Linked DNA regions of Arabidopsis thaliana. The protein of the gene in region 1 purifies or fractionates together with the protein of each later gene. This does not show direct contact. Each region holds a gene or a part of one and is shown on either strand. Other genes may lie near its edges.

Region 1 (4,196 bases):
ATTATCAGAATAGATTTGTTCAAGAAGGTGATGTGTTTAATAATGATCTGACAAGTTTATTTTTTGCAGAGAGTTGAGAGCTCATTTTAGTAGAAAGCAGCAACAGGCAGATTCAAGACGCAGAGCAGCGGTGATGGAGATGGTGCGGCAGAGAGCCGCTGATACAACGGCCTCCACTCCTGAATGATTAACAGACATGTTATATTCTCTGTCTATGGGGTCAAGGGTTCGTGCCTGAAGTAACGATCCAAATGGCAGGCGAATCAAGAAAGAATGAGATATTTTTGGCTGATTAATTTGGAGATTCAAGAAGCTAGTTTAGGAGAGCTCATGGGAAAATGAGCAGATGGGTCTCTTCCACAACTGCTAATTTAGGTTCACAACGAGGTACATAGATATTTTTTCTTACATGTATTCTAAAGTATAGACATGTGTATAAGGGAATTGTGATTTTGATTCAATTTTTGGTGATTCTGTTCATTGAATCCTATTGAATTCGACTACTGAATTTGATCTTAATTTACTTACTCTTTGATTCCTTCGTATTGTATATGTGGTATTTTTGGCAAAGCTATAAGCTAATAAATTCTTGATTTTCAATCATTACATATACTAGACTGGAAATGCAAGTTTTTACTTTATATTCAACTAGAATACTAGAGTTTATCCAGTTGAACGAAACCAAGACCCCGAAGCATTTTGGAGTCATTAGGCAACGAACCCATTATAATGTATATAGAAATGATCTTAGTACGGCGAAAGCCAATGAAATTAACAAAAAATACACTGCCAAACTAAAGTAGTAGAATTCACCTACTAGACATTCCATGGTGAAATGGATCAGACAGTTTGATGAAACTCTGGGAAGCTTCATAAGAGCATTGGTGATCGTCAGGAACCTTTTCTTAACATCCTTGCCTTCACTCAATTCGACATTAACATTGACAGTTTCAAGACGTTTTAAATTTGCCAAGAAATGCCTCATTCGTTTCAGCTCTTCCTCTTATCCCTCTTAGGGGTGCAAACGCAGGCGTCACCACGTTTGTCTGTAACTTCATGCACAAGACCGTGAAAGCAAAAAGAACAAGGCATAAGCAAATTCATGGGAATAATAACTTTAGCAAAGAAACAGAAGTGCGTGGTGATCGAACGAAATAGATGATACCTTGATGACTTAAGTTTCTAGATTTGGAGAGTAGTTAAGGAGAAGTGGCTCCACTTACCAGCCTCTTTCTTTGTTACACTCAAAAGATAAAGTAACGAGGTTGGGAAACACCGGGATTGATTTACAGCACGAGTAAAATACCTGGGATCTATTGTCACAACCAAAACAAACATATACACAAAATGAGACTTTGCTAGCTAGCATGCACTTCAAATAGAATCAACCAATAGAAGAAGAAGACGTAGCAGAGACTGACCTCAAGAGAAACAGCGGACAAGTGAAGGGTTTTAACATTGCTTATCCCTGCAACCAGATTCGTAACATAACCAACAATATCCTCTGTATCACCATCCACATAATAATTAATAGTCATCTGGAAGACGCTCCCATGAGTGTAGCTTCTACAAGGGAACCCAAATCAACCTCATAATCTTCTGCGGGATAACCAGAATAGTCAAGATAGACAAGACTGGGTGTATCAAACAGACGAAAACCCTTGTGACCGTTAGGGTAACGGGGCCAATGATAAGAGCTGGTCAGTCGTTTGATAAGAGAAGGACTAGACACGGTCCCTCCATCAAACAAATATTATTAAAAGGAAAAAAAAAGAGATAAATGAAAATTGGTCCATAAGACAAATACTGAAAAGACGAGGGGTTAAATTGAAATAAATCCCTCCTCTTCTCTGTTCACAAAATCCTCGCGCCACAAAACCCTAGCTGAACGGAAGAAGGTTAGTGGTTTAATCTCCCTCTGGGGAAAGCTGCTTATGTTGATTCTCTAGGCTTTTTTATATTCTGAAAGTTTTGATTTTTTGTATCTTGTTTTGTTTCTCAATCATCAATTTGTGGTAGTAGCTCACTAGCAAACAATGGAGGGGAGGTTGAATAATATGTGGAGGTTGACTGTGAATGAGAGCAAATTCGTTGAATCTGCGTTGCAATCTGAGCTCAGAGTCGATGGTCGTGGCCTTTATGATTACCGCAAGCTTACTATTAAGTTTGGCAAGTGAGTTTTTCTCCTATTCATTGATTATGTTTACCTTTAAAGCTTCAATTTTTGTTGATGCTTTTGATCTCTGGTTTTGCAATGTTGTTACTGATGATTAATTTAATCTGTGTGAGTTTTCGATAGGGAATATGGCAGCTCACAAGTTCAACTGGGTCAGACTCATGTAATGGCTTTTGTGACTGCTCAGCTAGTACAACCTTACAAAGACAGACCTAGTGAAGGCTCCTTCTCTATCTTCACCGAGTTTTCTCCAATGGCTGATCCATCGTTTGAGCCAGGGCATCCTGGTGAATCTGCTGTTGAGCTTGGCCGTATTATAGACCGTGCTCTACGGTAAACCTCTCTTTTTGATTTGATGCTACAAACAAAGTTTTTTGTATTGATGGTCTTTGTGTTGTTGGTTGCAGAGAAAGCCGTGCAGTAGATACAGAGTCGCTTTGTGTTCTAGCCGGAAAGCTGGTTTGGTCTGTTCGCATTGATCTTCACATTTTGGACAATGGAGGGTAGGTCTTCTTCATGTTTATCCAAGGTTCTTGTTGTGAGAATGATCTTTTATGTGTATATTGTTACTCACTCTCTTACAGGAACTTGGTTGATGCTGCTAATGTTGCTGCCTTAGCCGCACTCATGACTTTCAGGAGACCTGATTGCACTGTAGGAGGGGACAACAGTCAAGACGTGATCATACATCCACCCGAAGTTAGTAATTCATATTTTTTTTTTTTCAGTTTAGTTGATGAACTTAATAACTAGAGAGAAGGAAGTTCTCAACTTCAACTGTTTTGTACTATATTTGGTTTCTTTTACAGGAAAGGGAACCACTTCCTTTGATAATACATCATCTCCCAATAGCCTTCACGTTTGGATTTTTTAATAAAGGCAGTATCTTGGTAAAAAAATTGTGTTTTGTTTATTGATAATCTTGTTTACTACGTTTTTGTTTGCATCTGAGATTACAAGTGTGTTGTGTTCTTATGCAGGTGATGGACCCAACTTACGTTGAAGAAGCTGTTATGTGTGGGAGAATGACTGTGACAGTCAATGCCAATGGCGATATATGCGCAATCCAAAAACCAGGAGAAGAAGGCGTGAACCAGAGTGTAATCCTTCATTGCCTGCGTCTTGCTTCTTCAAGAGCTTCTGCAACAACAAAGATAATTAGAGATGCAGTAGGGTTTCGTAATCCGGAGCGTTTTCCTTTTTAGATTGATTTCTATTGATTTAAGGATTTGATTTTGTTGTGCTTTGTTTTCATGGTGTAGGTTGAAGCATACAACCGTGAGAGGAGCTCACAGAAGGTGAAGCGGCATCATACTTTGGCTAAGTCTGAAGTTTTGGGACCTATTGTAGTTGTGTAGGAAGAGACATAAATAAAACATTTGCTGTGGTCGTCGATTGTAAATAAAGATTTTAGTTGTAGAAATCTTATCAGCAACACTAAGCTATAAAAACGTCGATATGATCAAGACATGTTGAGACTTCTCGCACTTAAATAGATGACTAGTCTCAACTCTTCCATTTATGTCTTTCTGAAAGAAAGTTGAAACACAACATATTGAGACTTCTCAGAATTAATATGCATATCCTGAATAACATGTACACTATAAGCCAAAAGCTATGTTGGAATAATAGTAGTAACCATGATCATGAAACAGCCTCCTCTCACTGTTCGTTCTTATGAGGTCGGTTAAAGCTTTTTTTACAACAGAAGAGAGTCTTTGAACTGTTATTACAACGAGGTGTTGTCGTCGGGGAGAAACAGGTATCTGAAACGAGAATCGAAGGGGAGTATTCCGCAGTTCCGTGAAGCGAGAAGGCTTTGTCTTCTCTGAGAGATGCATTGCTCCACAAAAGCAGCTTGATGTGGAGGAAGGTACCTTGATATCCAGACCCCCAAGTTCGAATCCTCCACCAAACTCTTGGCATAACAATGGAGCATTTTGGGTAGTAAGAGCTTCCCTTTGCTGCTCAGCCCTACCGATGCTTGTATGAAGTCCCTTTGTGCTTCTAGCATCTCTTC
Region 2 (5,014 bases), about 19 Mb from region 1:
AAAAGAACATATGTTATCGGAAAGGAAGGACTTCCAGACACCGGTAATAATCGCACAACAACTCGTTTCGATTACTTGTTTGTTGTATATGATATGATTCATTAATCGTGATGGATGGTACAGTGGTGTGGAATCCATGGGAGAAGAAATCGAAAACAATGGCGGATTTTGGTGATGAAGAGTACAAAAGCATGCTTTGTGTGGATGGTGCAGCAGTGGAGAGACCGATCACTTTGAAGCCAGGAGAAGAATGGACCGGCCGGCTAATATTGACCGCTGTTAAATCCAGTTTCTGCTTCGATCAACTCGAACTACAGAGCAAGGGATTCTGACTCTAGTTTCTGTATGCAACATTGGAAGAGCAGAGCCACCGTTTCTTTTATCTCTTTCTTTTTGTTGATTCTTGTTTTATCACATTAGAGCTTATGACCTGGTGATTTCTCAGACCAGTCTTGTGATGTAGTGACAGAAAAAGCCTCTGGTCTTTTTTTTCCTCGGCTTAATGTAAGAATGTGAGGACAAGTTGTGTTCAATCGATTCAGTTTGATCTTTTTACCAAATTGATTCATTTTTCCCAAAAAGAGTTTGCACTACTAGCTTTTTATCCTCAACTTCCACAAACAACAGCAAAATCTAATTAACAAAAATCTTGGAGCTTTACGTTTTTTTCTCTAACTCTAAAGTTTATGCAGCTCGGCGATACTCTAGCTGTTTGGTGTTTTCTTGAAGTACCTTCACAAAGACAGAAGAGCCAAAGACTTAGAAAACAAAGAACGCTTTTCAATGGTGGAAAGGGAAAACTTAGAAAGATTCAGAAGTCCATTGTTACCTCGCGTATTCTCTCTGCAATTGCCTTGCAACCTTCAGAAGCCAATGCAAACACTGTCTCAAATGTTTCCATCGGTAACTTGGCATCCATCTACACATTAAACCCAAACGTAAGCGTCTAGAATCATCTGAATGCGAATGTATAGAAATCTGATATGAAGAGTTGAAGAAAAACCTGAAGGAGTGACACTTTGTCTAATTTAGGTAGAATACCGACGGTTACATCAGCTCCTCCAGCACTGTCTTCAACATAGTTCAGATCAAGAAGAGGAGTACTGTTTAAATATCCAGCACTACAGGAAACAGCGAGATCACGCATTGGAATTCCAGCATCTGCTAGAGCTAGAGTCGCGGCATTGATACAAGCTGATCTTGTTCCTGATTACAGAACATAACACTAATGGCTGATCAGAGATTGAAAGAGATCAAAAGGTCAACTTCAGAACAGAGGTTTAGTTTAATTTTACCTCCATCAGCTTGTAGAACCTGAAGGAAAATATCGATCTGCATAAAGGAAACAATTCATCAGGAAGCAAGCAAAAGGAGGAGGAAGAAAGAAAATTTAGATTTCAATATCGCCGGAGAGTAAAAAGTAAACCTGAGAGTGAGGCATCAATTCGGTTAATATGCAAGCTTCCATTGTCTGACGGATGACAAGAGATAGCTCTGTTGATCGCCTGACCATCATAATACACAACAATTCAAACTTTATGATTTTCGTAAGAAAAAGCAAAGAGTCTCTCAGCTATATAGTAAAATGTAACCTGTCGAATTTCTGTCTTCTACGATCACCAGTACTAAACTGAGCCATACTATACTCACACAACACCTACCAAAACATACAATTAGCAATAAGCATTCCATATTCACCAAGAACAATACTAAACAAGATCAAAGCATATACATACCACTGCATGGTCGTTCTTCTTTTGCTGGCTCTTGTTTTGAATCTGAAGGAGCACATTAACAGAAATAACCAATTCGCTGAATTATACAATTAAAGTATCAATCTTGATAGGTGAGTAACAGAGTAATCAAGTACCTCTCTTGGACCATAAACAGCTGCAATTACTTTGGTATTACCCATCTCGAAGACAGCAGAACTGGAAACAAAGTTGGAATTTTTGTTCATATAAAAGTGCCGAATATAGAACTGAGATACGGAAAAAGATAAGAGACAGATTTTGAGTTTTACCCGTCAGCCTTAGAAACAACTCCAACTTCAGCTACGATTTGCCTCATCTGAGATTCATTACAAGCAATCACGAATAGACCGATTAACTTGTGAAGGCAGTGGCTTACAAAGACAGTGAATAGAGATGCAAACATACCTCGTTGAATCGGCGACCATCTAATCGAAGACCTTCAGGGTTTACGTACTCCATTGTTGTGAACTCTAGGTAGAGATAATCAAGGATGAGAGCAATGAAAGACAGAAACAGAACAAGTTTAATACTTTCTGATCCCACAGAACAGGGAACAAGAGACGAATTTACCTCTGCCAGTACTTTAGCGGCGGCGATATGACGGAGGGCGATGGACGGCGTCGAGAGAACTGAAAGAGTGTCGACAACATAAAGATTAGGGCTTTTTGGTTCCTTTTTGTGAATTAAGTGAGATTTTAAGGGTAAAACCGTCAAATCACAGGAGGATTTTTTTTTATAACTTCTAGTTTATGAAGCCAGGCAAATTGGTAATTCGCTTGCAAAGAAAAGTAAAGCTCAAAATTGCGGGAACATGCATGCAATAAGAGAATTAAGAGTGAGATCCCTTCAAAAGTATAGCTCAAATTGTTGTTGTTTTCTTTTATCAAGGCTTTTCTTGTTGACTCTGTTATTTCAAGTATGTATTAGTAATAGTAATATAGTATCTAGATCAATTTCTAAGTCAATAGTATATTGATAGTAGTATCAACGTGTCGGGAGTTACGTGTGGCAATGCCGACAAATGAATGCAAAGTGAGGTATATGAAAATGACGGGTTCCTGACGGAGGAGATGATGGAATTATTTACTAAGGTTTGCTAACATCTTCTTTTTTTATGTATGTATGTTTGGATCAAAAAGTATACAAAACCATATTAGACAATTTAAGAGAGACCACTCTCTAGTCTCTACCTAGTAAAAGTAGTACCTACTACGACTATCCTAACGAATGTCATGCAATTTAATGTTCCATATACAATTTTTTTTTTTTTAATATATTAAAAACAACCCAATAGGGCATGGGCTAAGACCCAATACACAGATGAAATCCAGTTACAAAATAGGTTAAACAGAAAAAGTCACCGACAAACAAAGAGGTTCGAACCTTGCTGCTGGTCGGAAGCAGAGTGGTCGGAGCCTTATATCTGGCGGACTCAAGCATCACAGCTTTGCGGCCGCAGACGACGGATCGAGAAACGCAGCTGGAAGATTCCGGTTTCCATCTGCACCTATCTCCGCCGTCGCACCAACCCACCACAACTCTCCCAGAAAGCTAACCACTCCGACTTACCGGTTCCGCGATATCTGTTCCATGCCAAGCAACCCGATACACTAGAGTTTAACCCCTCTCCGACTTAATGTTCCATATACATACTACTAACTATTATTAAATCAAACTGACTGTTATTTTTAAGGTCTAACTTTTAACACGAGTACCTGACTAATCCCACGTAAAAAAAAAGTCTTGAAATCACATGTATCTTTTTATAAAATCACAGGTGAATTCGTGTAAGTTATATAAGGTTCAAAATAAAACAATATAGAATTACTGTAAGTTACAAGATTTGGTATATTAACTTGTAGAATTATCGATATAATAAAAGCTTATTTTTCAATTATTATTTTAGGACCAAATCTAGTCAAAGCTCAACCATTAACTATGGAAATCTAATTTCTAGTTACCTTTTTAATAGTAGCTTTTTCTAATAAAGTTTCTGATAAGAGACTTGGTCTCCAAGCAAAAGATCATAAATTTTTTCCGAAATTAAAAATATATTTTAATATTAAAGACGAGATTTTATTACTCTTTCAAACACATCGTTAGATTCATTACCATTAAACTTCACAATTTCCATATTGGGTCAATGCGAATTGACACATACTCGTGACCAATCTCACACGCGTGGAGCCCACTAGCCGGCGCGTGTAGCAAACGTAAAACAGACCGCGCGTAAAAGAGTTAAAAGTTGCTTGGAGACCAAGCTATAGATTAGGACAATTGGCTCTACTTTCGGTACGGTAACTACCACGTGTCATAAATCTAACGTCTCAATCTGAGATGCGGAAAGCCGTTTCTGGATCCCCCATTGGCCGCCACGAAACCGCCCTTAAGCATCGTCCCTCTTTACATTAAATCCAAATCTAATTCCCGGTTTATAAACTCCATTAACCGGATTAAATTTCAATAGGTTAAGCTTTGATAAACGTATGTCATTTCACCAACTATATTTTAAGATACGTTTAGTTATAAGGTTGAATGAGTTTTGATTGGGTCAGTGTCTCATATCATATGAATAGTGTTGAACACGCATCAATTTCTCTGTAACAGTTAAAATCTAATTAAATTAATTACATAGAAAAAATCACGTTACTAAACAAAAATCTCCAAAAATAGTGATGAGTTAATAGTATTTAAGAAGGATGTTCCTGAGAAACGGCGATTCTTCTTTAACCTTTTGACTCTTCTTCTCTCTCTCTCTGCAAATTCAAAACAGTGAAAAAAACCTCTCTTCATTTTTTAACTCCCTCTCTCTCTCTCTCTCTATGGAGAGACGAACGAGACGAGTGAAGTTCACAGAGAATCGTACGGTCACAAACGTAGCAGCTACACCATCTAACGGGTCTCCGAGACTGGTCCGTATCACTGTTACTGATCCTTTCGCTACTGACTCGTCTAGCGACGACGACGACAACAACAACGTCACGGTGGTTCCAAGAGTGAAACGATACGTGAAGGAGATTAGATTCTGCCAAGGTGAATCTTCTTCCTCCACCGCGGCGAGGAAAGGTAAGCACAAGGAGGAGGAAAGCGTAGTGGTTGAAGATGACGTGTCGACGTCGGTGAAGCCTAAAAAGTACAGAGGCGTGAGACAGAGACCTTGGGGAAAATTCGCGGCGGAGATTAGAGATCCGTCGAGCCGTACTCGGATTTGGCTTGGGACTTTTGTCACGGCGGAGGAAGCTGCTATAGCGTACGATAGA

The links. The genes of interacting proteins can lie anywhere in the genome.
Region 2: the proteins of RRP45a (region 1) and RRP41 purify together in Arabidopsis thaliana (affinity purification with mass spectrometry; 2 studies listed by BioGRID, with this or other methods). This does not show direct contact.

What each region holds. Positions count from the first base shown.
Region 1 is NC_003074.8:4,154,309-4,158,504, forward strand, and holds RRP45a (ribonuclease PH45A), read left to right. Parts: upstream 1-1,745; 5' UTR 1,746-1,898; exon of another isoform or gene 1,899-2,022; 5' UTR 2,023-2,036; coding exon 2,037-2,173; intron 2,174-2,299; coding exon 2,300-2,509; intron 2,510-2,583; coding exon 2,584-2,679; intron 2,680-2,760; coding exon 2,761-2,875; intron 2,876-2,985; coding exon 2,986-3,066; coding exon of another isoform or gene 3,067-3,093; exon of another isoform or gene 3,094-3,156; coding exon 3,157-3,345; coding exon of another isoform or gene 3,346-3,381; exon of another isoform or gene 3,382-3,438; coding exon 3,439-3,534; 3' UTR 3,535-3,656; downstream 3,657-4,196. Other genes in the region: HAC5 (histone acetyltransferase of the CBP family 5), read left to right, coding at 70-187; AT3G13000 (ubiquinone biosynthesis protein (Protein of unknown function, DUF547)), read right to left, coding at 3,906-4,196. UniProt on the Arabidopsis thaliana protein: Probable 3'->5' exoribonuclease involved in the regulation of cuticular wax biosynthesis. Can perform exosomal functions and partially complement the yeast rrp45 null mutant.
Region 2 is NC_003074.8:22,800,698-22,805,711, forward strand, and holds RRP41 (3'-5'-exoribonuclease family protein), read right to left. Parts: upstream 3,408-5,014; 5' UTR 3,138-3,407; intron 2,496-3,137; exon of another isoform or gene 2,384-2,495; 5' UTR 2,325-2,383; intron 2,225-2,324; 5' UTR 2,214-2,224; coding exon 2,160-2,213; intron 2,071-2,159; coding exon 2,024-2,070; intron 1,932-2,023; coding exon 1,871-1,931; intron 1,779-1,870; coding exon 1,737-1,778; intron 1,658-1,736; coding exon 1,593-1,657; intron 1,506-1,592; coding exon 1,427-1,505; intron 1,333-1,426; coding exon 1,296-1,332; intron 1,207-1,295; coding exon 1,004-1,206; intron 920-1,003; coding exon 830-919; intron 733-829; coding exon 685-732; 3' UTR 524-684; downstream 1-523. Other genes in the region: AT3G61610 (Galactose mutarotase-like superfamily protein), read left to right, coding at 1-43, 124-332; CRF6 (cytokinin response factor 6), read left to right, coding at 4,577-5,014. UniProt on the Arabidopsis thaliana protein: Non-catalytic component of the RNA exosome complex which has 3'->5' exoribonuclease activity and participates in a multitude of cellular RNA processing, maturation and degradation events.